Linked DNA regions of Schizosaccharomyces pombe. The protein of the gene in region 2 purifies or fractionates together with the protein of the main gene of each other region. This does not show direct contact. Each region holds a gene or a part of one and is shown on either strand. Other genes may lie near its edges.

Region 1 (5,252 bases), on a different chromosome or scaffold from region 2:
CAGGTATAATCGCATTCGAGCATTGCTTGATTCAAGGAAGGGAAGATGTGGAGAGTGGGCCAACGTGAGTTAAAAATATTTATAAATATATAAAGCTAACATTTTCTTAGTGTTTCACTTTCCTATGCAGAGCACTTGGATCTAGAGCTAGGTGGATTTGGAATGCTGAGGACCATGTGTGGACGGAAGTCTATAGTAATAAACAGCAACGCTGGGTGCATGTCGATAGTGGTGAAGAATCATTCGATGAACCTTTGATATACGAACAAGGTAGAGTTCTAACTCCTTGAAAAACTTGATTTCTAACAGCATTAGGTTGGGGAAAGAAGATGTCATATTGTTTGGGTTTTGGGAGTACGGAAAAGGTTTTAATTTTATTTGTTACTAATGCAAAAATAGTCGATAGTGTTCGCGATGTATCGCATAGATATATTCGTCACCCTGAGAATGGTCTTCCTCGTGATCGATGCCCCGAATCTGTCCTACAACAGGCTTTGCATGAGATTAATATTGAGTTTCGGTCCCGACTAACTGATTCTGAACGTAAGGCTCTAGAGGAGGAAGACAAACGTGAAAAAGATGAACTTGATGGTTATATGCGTCCTGTTTCCCAGGCCACGCCCACTAACACTGACCTGCCAGCAAGACAAACGGGGAATGTTGAATGGAAAGAGAAAAGAGGGGAAGCAGGAAAATGATTGTTTCATAAAGCTTTACGTTCCGTTTCTATTACCAAACATTTATTAGTTATGTTGTACATGAATCCTTTCTAGTTACTAGCTTTTTTTTTATGTAATCCTAATTAAATTTTTTTTTCATACATTAGTTAAACGACAGCAAGTGCATCGTAAACCAACTTTCGAATTTCAAAAAAGCGGTTGCTCAAACTGCCCTCAACGGATATTTTACCACCACTGAGTTTTCTTACGGCAACAGCTCCCCCACATAATAAAACACCTTCTCCTTTCAATTCAGCAGAAATTCCTTGATCTAAAAGTGCTTTACGGAGATAGGCAAGCCGAATATTACCTACCAAAAGTGGAGCAGCCCTGGGCGCTCTTGCCAAGTCTGATCTTAAAGTCAAGGCGTTAAGAACAGGAAGTGTCTCTTTCTCTTCTTTTTTCTCTTCATTCCTTTCTTTATCACCGTCCTTTTTCTCAACTTCTTCCTTTTTATCTTCTTCTTCAGAAGGTTTAGAGATCTCAACCTTAGCCAGCATATGTGAAACTTCGCAATTGCCAACTTTAGTCCAAATTAAATTTTTAATAAGATCATCTGCTAATTTAAGACTGAATGCATTAACATCGATACTAACATTAATGATTTCACCATAGTTGGGTATGTAAACGTCCTTGGTAAAAGCACTGAGAGAGGCGCACGTTTTCTTCATATCTTCTTTCTCTTCAGTTGAAGCATGAATAAGGACAAGTCTTCTAGGATTTACCTGTGGTATAATAGTTTTCAAAGAACGTCCATCATGCAGACCCTCAATATCTATGAACTGAACTTGACATGAAACTCGGATAGTTTTTTCATCTGTTATAATTTTAGAAGGAACTTCATCCTCATCCTCTTCTTCCTTTTTTTGTTGTAGACCATCGTTTATTTCGGACCATTTTCTTTTTCCGTTAGAATTAGATAAAGCATTATCATCTGAATCATTTTCCAATTCCAATGTGTTAGCAGGTTCGTTAATCATAGAAAAGTCTTGATGTTTGATAATTTCTCCATATTCATCTATCCTCCTTCTCTTCTCAATGTATGGAAACATTTTATACTTGGTATGTAAAGCTTGGACAGCAGGATCTCTCAAGTTCAAATCAAAAGACTTTCCCATTAGGAAAGCAGAAGATCCAAGAGCCACATGGGGAACTTCTGTATTCAAATCTAAGTCGTCATCTTCTGAAGAAGATGATGATGAAAGGTCTTCATCTAATATGGTTCTGTTACGAAATTCCAAAGCGGTATCTTCCGCATCTTTATTTCTCTTGCTGAACTCAAGTTCTTGATACGATCGCAATTCTTCCCCCTCCAAAGGTTCTTTCGTTTTTATCTTGACAGCTTGTTCAGCATACAAACCGACTGGATGAGGAATATCACGTTTCTTTTTACTAGCACGTTCCCAATACCTGATGAATTGGTTTGCAAGTGAGTTTTGAGGGCATCTGGATCTTTGTGTAAACAGTATTAAGTCATTTGAATTTTCAGACATCAAATCTAACAAAATTCGCTGAGAGAATCCGCATTCCAAAGTCAACGCGGTAGCGAGGATCACTTTGGGTCCGGGTCCTATGTGAGAAATCTGAGAAAAATCTGTAATCGTATTTATATTTCGAAACTCTAATAAGTTTTCGTTGATCCCAAAATCACGAACTATATTATCACCCATCCATTCAATCATACTTTTAGCATAGTCAATAGTTTTTGTTGATGTAGGGGAAAGGAATAATATAGGAAATGGTAGAGGCGGTTGACTAGCAGACCAATGGTTATCTAGAATACAACACAATTCTAATACCCTAGAAGCGGCATCTACAGGTAATAAAACAGTACCGCCCTTCAACAAAGAAGACATAACAGACTCTATGAAAGCTTCGTCACGCTTTTTACGGGAAGGGATAGATACGAGTGAATTGTTAGCATCAGTAATTAAAGTATTTGGTCGATTGAGAGCTTCTAATATATGGCCATTCGAATATAAGGCAGCGCCGTTTAGATGTTTATCTTTAGAATGGTTCCAGTCAACAGCGTACAGAACGCTTTCTGATTCTTTTATAAGACTCCACAAAGTTCCTCCCAAGGTATGTCCAGCATTATAAGCAGTAATGGTTAGCCCACTACATTTTCCTAAATCATGAATTAGTATAATCAAAAGTTCAAAAGACTTTTTTCACAAGAACAATTGCTTACCTAAAAGTAATGTGGGTTGTTGATATCTAAGAGGAATGATGCTGTCAAAAACAGCATCTACATCAGCTTTGCTCATGTCTGAAATATAGTTGGATTTTATTGCATCCAACATAGTCATCCGACCCATATTAATTGTTGGTAAAGTAGCATATATATACGCATTTTTCCAGTCATATTTATAATAAGCATAAACCAATCCTCCTATATGTGCTAAATCCGAATGAGATAAAAGGATTAAATCTGGTTGTTCGGGTACTTCCGGATGTTTTAATGAATCATCGCTGCCAGGGTCTATATAGATATGAATTCCATCTAACTCAATATGAGATGTTCCACAATAGGAGTCTGTCTCTAAACATTGATAGTTGAGCATGGTTATTGCCCAAAGACAGGACTTTACAACTCGATGGTAGTAAACAGTGGGGGTTGGATGGCTATCAGAAAGAATATATCCAAGCGATACTATAATATGAAAACTTGTCAATCTTCTAAATTGACCAGTTTTAATGTCTTTATTATAACTAAATCTTTAGTTAATCTAAATCATTCAACGAGCATATTGGATAAATCGGCTTCGTAATTTTTATATATTAACAAAGACGGATGTTTATTAAATACGGTTTCTTGGTAACATCATTAATTAAAAATATACCATGTAAGGAGTTGAGTTATAAGTGACTGGTATAGATTATCAATTGGCGATTTATTCAAAATGCGCTAATTTTAGGAAATGGTTCATCAAATCGAAAATTGTCCTGAAAGCATTAAGTGAATTATCAAAATAATTTTTAGCTTTTAAATTATCACTCTGTAATAACAAATAACTGTAAATTAGACATTGATTCATTCATCGATTCCAAAAAAAGCAGAGACGGCGCCATAGAGGTCGCAAACGACCTTAGATTTCCCAGAGCTTCCTAGGCCCGCAGCGACATATAATGGAACAAAGTGTTCCTCGCGTGGGTGTGCTTTTCGAAAATAAGGGTGTAGCTGTAATCCTAATAATTTATTCAGACGATCATTTTGCTATAGGTTCGAAATTAGTACAAGAAGTTCAAAATATTGTGCACTCATCCTCAACGACAAGTAACATACATACCTTATCAGTCTCAATAGCTTTTAGAATATCCAGTTGGAATTCTTTATATCCATCAGCTGCCGTATCTTCATTGAATGCAGAGAGGTCTTCGAAAGTATGAATGTTGAGTCCTCCGCTAACTATCAAATACTCCTTCCGCAAACTTTGCAATGCTTGTCCTACTTTATATAGCTGCATGGGATCTAGGGTATGCATGCTCACCTCTATTAATGGGATATTAAGTCCATCGGGAAACATGATTTTGAATGGCACAAAAACACCATGGTCCAATCCACGATCACCTGAAACAGTTTTTGCTGGAATTTGGTACTATTGGGTTAGCATCAATAATCTATGAAACAGAAAAGATTCTGCGTTGGCATACTTCTTTAAGGGCAGAAATTATTTGATCGGCTATCCGCTTGGAGCCTTTGGAATGAAACTTGATCTGGTATAAATAATCTGGAAATCCGTAATAGTCATAAAAAAGTGGGTTTTCATCGTCTCTCGAATATACTTCAACTGATCCACGAGACTCATAGTGTGCAGAAAAGACGATTATTCCCTTCGGTCTAAACTTTTCCAATAGAAAGGGTCCTAACTGTTCTAAAAACTGATAATGTAACCCTCCAAGCTTAGAATCATTACTGAAAACCTCATCATCCGATGATTGTGGTAACATCAAAAATGGAGCTAAACAATTTTTAGTTATTCTAGTATCAATAAAGTGTTTATGTATCGAGTTATATGAAATTGAGAGATAGTTTGATGAAGTCAGTCAGCAAATTCCATTAACTCAGCATATTATGCGTCTGCTATATAAATTTCTGTTGATTCAATATACTTACATCCATGCGCTAAATACAGAGCTGGAATAAGCCTTTCTAGTTGAGGAACAGACCTCATACGAGACATCCAGTCTAATAGTCGAGAACTCGCCATAGTCCCGTTAAATTCAATTTCAAAATAGCCTAAATCGTTTGACTCCACTGGCTTTTGGGTGGTGTTACTAACGCTGTTGTTTTTCCAGTAGGCGAGTATGCACACTGCCAAACCCGTCAAGAGGTATTTCAACCTTAAAAGTTCTCGTATTGGCATGAATCCACAAACCAAGACTTTCGAGGTATTAGTTTTCCTTTTGTTTATCACTTACTAACTAATGCTTTAAGGGAGCTATCAATCGGCTAAATTCTTTGCAATCCAATGCAAAAGTGCTGGAAGTGCTTAGGAAAAGGGGAAAGATCCCAAATGATCAGTCGATGGT
Region 2 (5,345 bases):
TAACAGCATAAATATAGGATTTAGTCATCTGCGGAAGAGTCAATTGCGTAGATTTATTTGCATTTGCAGAATTAAAAGCTACATTTACAGATTGATTCATCCACTGCCAAAAAACGGTTCCAGCGGTACCAAGGTTTGGTTGCAGCATACCTGCTGTGACGACCAAATTAGTCTAATGATTAGCATTTAGTCACTAAATAGTATTATCTTACCAAGACAAAGCATGACATTCGGAATGGTAAGAAAACAGGTTCCTTAGTATCGGGATGCAAAGTTGAATCAACAACTAAAATCGTTAATATGTTTTTTTTTTTAATTTGAAAATATATTTAATAACAAAAAAAATAACTAATCAAATAATATAACATTTGATCGGATTTGTATCGTATAACTACATACTTTTCTTTGCATGCCAAACCGTTTCATCTAATTGTGCAATTTTACCCGCTCCATAGTCTTCCAGAGTTTTGACGGCGCTATTTAAATCTTGAGATGTAGAGAGAAGTGTCCTACAGATGTTAGGTGCTCAAACGATCATGTAGTTAAATTATAATTACCTTGGATCAGTAATATCCATAGCGTGCTGCCGCATTAGCATAAATACAAAGAGTAATATAACATACACGAACACGTCCCCAATAGGTGGACAAGTCATACTTAGAGGTGGGCAGCTTATTGCTGGACATTGTGGTGTTGGTGTTGGTAGTCGGTACAAAAATTTGCTTAATTAACCCGATTGGTAGTGTCTTTGGAGTTCATAATAGCTACAAAAAAAGTTTTCCTTACAAAAATCTAAATAGTTATAGCATTTTTTTAAGTACTAGTCAATTTTTTTGGAATGGCTATTAAATTGTTTGTCTTTGACGTAAATGGCAAGAATAAATTAAAGATTCGATCACGCATGACTAAGAAACAGCATTTTTTAACAGAAATACCAGAGTGCATGATAACTACTGAGACTTAAATAGCAAAAAATGAAGGTAGCCATAAAAGTGTCATGGCTATGAAAGGCAAAGATTCGTTCGTAAATAATTTTCAAGAAAGTTCTTCTTTCTTAAGGTTGGGCTGTTCATTCTTTTCTTCGCTTTTCTGTTCTTCAACTGGTTCTGTCTTATTTTCATTTTTAACATCATCTTCTATTTTCGTTTGCTGCTCAAAGATTTTATCATCGTCAGATTCTTCATTTTCAAAATCATCTTCGGAGACGTCGTTTTGTGAAGCTTCAGAAAATGGAAGGATAGTATTGATCGCACGGGATAAAACATGTACGACTCTAGATCGTAACGCTTCATTTGAACATTCAACTTTCATAGTCGAAAAATCAATAGACGCTTCATATTTTTCAAATTTGATTTCAACCCCCTTTTCCGTTTTAGTCATACTTTCGCCAAATTGGTTGTCCAAAAACATCATCAGCTTTTTAATACGATCTTCCTCCTTTGATACTTTTGGAGGCTTATCTAAATGCGAATGCAAATGGTTACATTTATGGCTCGTCACTATTAATGGTTAGAAATTGTTCCACATTAAACGCAGACTTACACTTGACAGAAGCAGGACTGCTTTCAATGCCTAGTAGAATAGTAATTACTGAATCAGCTATTGTATCATTCATAATGTTGCCAACCCATTCAAGAGCAAGCTTATGTTCTTGGATTAAAGTCAAAGTAATGGCGTCCATTACTGTATATTGAGGTTGTCCTGCCTTTGTTTTTGACTGTTTGACATATCCAAACATTTGTTTTAAATGGAAATTTGCAAGCTCCATACTCGAAAAAAATGGAATGACTTGTTTTTGGGTTAAAACGGTGGTAGTAAGGTCACTGAAATCTCGAAGATCTTCAGCTGACATCAATTTATAATTGGCATCCTTTTGAATTAAAATTCCACTCATAATGTCGCCTTCTTTTGGTTTATGAACAGCGACCTTTCCCAAAGCTCTCACTAACCGTTCCCCTTTGAAAGGAAGATATAACGGTACGCAATTTCGAGGGGTATATACTTTGACATCGACTTTTCTATTGTGAAATTTGCTGGCTAGAGCACTTTTTAATCGACCCATATTTGTTTGCTCACCATGCACCAAAATCTATAATTAGTTAATTTTAACGTTACATTAGTAACTAAACATACAATGTGATCGGCATTTACCAGGTCAATGAATTCACTGTTTTGAAGATAATCAACATGAGCCGCAAAAGAAAGTTCCTCCACTGCCATTCTTCTAGGAATCTTTTGGCCTGAAAGTGACACAATTTCAATAGGCTCATTTGTAATTTGCTTTGCCATTGTCCCTTCAACAGAATAACCAGTAAGAAGTAACGTATTTCGAGGGTCAGGAGCCCATCTTTCTAAGAGGGTTCTTGAAACACCATTTTGTAGCATACCAGGACTTGCCAATATTACAGAAGGGCCAATATCATCGAATTTTTCTAAATTTCTTAGACTTTTGACAAAACGAAAGATGAACGGATTTCGTTCGGCAAAAATTTTTCGAATATTATCATTCATCATGTTAACATAAGTTTGAAAAATGGCCATACACTTTCTCGCTAGCGATGATGCATAATAGATAGGGACTGAGCGAAGATCGAGATGATTATTCCAATATTCATCGAGAATGAGTAATAACTCCTGAGCTCTTCCAAGAGCAAAGACAGGCATCAAAACTCTCCCTCCATTGCGAATAGTGGAATGAATAATATTTAACAGTCTAGCCTCCTTCTCCAGTCTTGGTTGGTGAGATGCTGTACCATACGTGGATTCTGTGATCAGCACATCTGGTCTTTTAGGAGGAACCTCAGCGACATGCAAATGGCGATCTTCTTCTCGTGAGTAGTCGCCTGTAAATAAAATATTGACTCCAGCCATTTCCACAAAATACATACAGGCACCCAAAACATGGCCCGCATGATAGGGTGTAAACTTTATACCCTCAACTTCTATAGTTGAATGGTAGTCAACAGCCTCGATTCTATCAAAAGCGGCTAACAAATCTTTCTCATCGTAAAGCTGATCTTCCATGCCTACATTACTGCGAGTTGTTAATGAATACTCAGAGCTAAGAATACATACCTCACTTTCACGTAGTCAGATAAAAGCCACTTGCAAACTGCCTTTGTAGGATGAGTCATGAAGACACGACCTCTAAAGTTCGTCTTTTGCATAACATAGGGAAGCGAGGCTACATGATCCAAATGGAAGCTTGCTTAAGTTAGAAATACTTTTCAAAAAAAAATGAATCAATGCCTAAGGGACCATAATAGTAATTGGTACAAGAAGTACTCTAATCTAATAACCTATGGTCGTCTCAAGTAGTGGTACAAAAGGGACTTACTGGCTAATTAAAAGTACATCTACAGTGCTCAAATCAAACTCATCAAAAAAAGGAAGAGCTGAAAGCCCAGTATACGCAGGGTGAACACCGGCATCGAGCTAGCAAAAATTAGCATTCACAATCATAACAAAATAAAAATTAAAATACCATTACTGTTTTCCCTTTGTATTGAATAACATGGCAACTGCGACCAACTTCATTTCCGGCTCCCAAGTTAATAAACTCCAGTAAATCCTGACATTGGTTAGAAAGTAGGCCCTTATAAAAAATCGTAAATTCAAGGCTTACGGATGGGTCTACAGGTGCATCTTCATCAAATTCCTTTCTTTTGGACATCTTTCCAAGGGCTTTTGTCTAAAAACCACAATTGGAAAGACAAGGTCGTGGGTGCTGGGCAAGCGCGAGTTATTCTTCACCTACGCATTCAACATAAATTGGGAGAAAGCAGAACAAAAATTTACAACCCTTTTTTTTTTAATTAAGAGCACCTAATTCTATTTATTATTAATGACTTCACTTTAATTGATACTAGAAAACCGTACTTTAAGGAGCGAAGTAAAATGTTTGTGCCAAGGCAACTGAATGTTCGCAAAATTAAAGCATTTACAGGGAAGGAAAATAATTCTATTGCAGATGGAAATAACAACAAATTGAAAGATGAGCATTACAAACATAATGAAGCCAGCAAAGAACCAAGTCATTCCATAAGCGGAGGACTCATGTTAAATCAACAAGATAGACAGCTTATTGAACCGTTAAATCCTGACTTTTTATCAGCCGTTGATTCTATATTAGAAATTTATTTTCACCGAGAAAGGCAAAAAGAAAAAGTGCACTTGGCCTTTTTAATCCAGCAAGATGATTTCTGGAAAGGAATCCGCCCGAATCCAACGCAAAATAACTTGAAGTATGCTTTATCTTATGTTACTAATGCGCTGTTTCATTTCGATAATTCCTCACACATGGTTATTAGAAATGAGAATATTGTTCTTCCTCTTGACATACCACTGTATGATAGAATTATTTACGTTGAACCAGTTCCGGCTACTCTGTCTAATAAAAGTTTACTTTTGGCTGGGAAACTTCGCAAATACCTCAAAGAGTTCCTTCCCTATGTTGATGCTATCGGTACTCCTGAAGGTTATGCTTTTGTAATTTTGTACAAAAAGGTTGATCAATCAGCACTTAGCAAGTTGCCTGTCCCTCCTGGATGGGTACTGTTGACTCGTAAAGAATGGACAAATCGTGAAGAAAAATATTTTGAAAATCAACTCCATTTAGTAAAAGCGTCATCTTCAGACGTTTCAAATTCATCCAATTCCTTTCCTGAAAATCGTTATCCCAAACTTACTAAAGTAGAAAAACAAATGACCAAGTCTGTATCCAAAACCTCACAAACTGATAAAGATGAAGATAATTTGGATTTTACCAAGAATCTTTTGACCCGTATCAAGAACCTCCATCCTTTAACTAATAAATCTACTATTCACAGCCTCTTGAGTTATGTTTTTTCGCGGCAAACTCAGAATATTGCATGTGAGCCCATGTATATAGACTATAGGAAGGACGAAACAGAGGCGATAATACGTTGGAAAACACCGCTTCATGCTGAGACGTGTATCAACGCGTTTCGTACACAAGAAAGGAAACAAAACAGTCATGATGATATTCGGGCACATAGGAAAAAGGGATCTAGCCGTCCATTCCTGATTGCTGAGCTAATTACCGGAGAAGAAGAAAAGAATTATTGGCGTATGTTAAAAAAGTAATATGTTTTCCTTTCTCTGGTAATACTAATTTGATTTATTTACTACTTTATAATATATTCTGGTAATATAGGCATACAAAAAGGTAACACGGTCGTTATTCTCACTTTAATACTAAATTTGCATTAACAGTTTTTTGTATTAATAACCCCTCTAATTTTCATTTGGCTGATAACCTATTGCGATCAGCAAAAATTCCAATAAACCATGAACCACAAATATGTAAAAACGGTTTACCACCC

The links.
Region 1: the proteins of ysh1 (region 2) and cft2 purify together in Schizosaccharomyces pombe (affinity purification with mass spectrometry, with the first as the bait; one study listed by BioGRID). This does not show direct contact.

What each region holds. Positions count from the first base shown.
Region 1 is NC_003423.3:1,127,143-1,132,394, forward strand, and holds cft2 (mRNA processing protein Cft2), read right to left. Parts: upstream 3,332-5,252; 5' UTR 3,284-3,331; coding exon 2,911-3,283; exon of another isoform or gene 2,848-2,910; coding exon 827-2,847; 3' UTR 812-826; downstream 1-811. Other genes in the region: ngl1 (peptide N-glycanase), read left to right, coding at 1-64, 111-270, 316-354, 400-698; SPOM_SPBC1709.16C (aromatic ring-opening dioxygenase), read right to left, coding at 3,754-3,936, 4,010-4,318, 4,374-4,681, 4,837-4,930; met7 (putative folylpolyglutamate synthase), read left to right, coding at 5,085-5,111, 5,158-5,252. UniProt on the Schizosaccharomyces pombe protein: RNA-binding component of the cleavage and polyadenylation factor (CPF) complex, which plays a key role in polyadenylation-dependent pre-mRNA 3'-end formation and cooperates with cleavage factors including the CFIA complex and NAB4/CFIB.
Region 2 is NC_003424.3:3,619,972-3,625,316, forward strand, and holds ysh1 (cleavage and polyadenylation specificity factor complex endoribonuclease subunit Ysh1), read right to left. Parts: upstream 3,740-5,345; 5' UTR 3,674-3,739; coding exon 3,626-3,673; intron 3,572-3,625; coding exon 3,485-3,571; intron 3,439-3,484; exon of another isoform or gene 3,436-3,438; coding exon 3,338-3,435; exon of another isoform or gene 3,205-3,337; coding exon 3,076-3,204; exon of another isoform or gene 3,035-3,075; coding exon 2,134-3,034; exon of another isoform or gene 2,090-2,133; coding exon 1,543-2,089; exon of another isoform or gene 1,500-1,542; coding exon 1,036-1,499; 3' UTR 790-1,035; downstream 1-789. Other genes in the region: sideroflexin Fsf1, read right to left, coding at 1-172, 213-286, 400-509, 558-583, 624-686; pof8 (LARP7 family RNA-binding protein Pof8/Lar7), read left to right, coding at 3,898-5,106. UniProt on the Schizosaccharomyces pombe protein: Component of the cleavage factor I (CF I) involved in pre-mRNA 3'-end processing.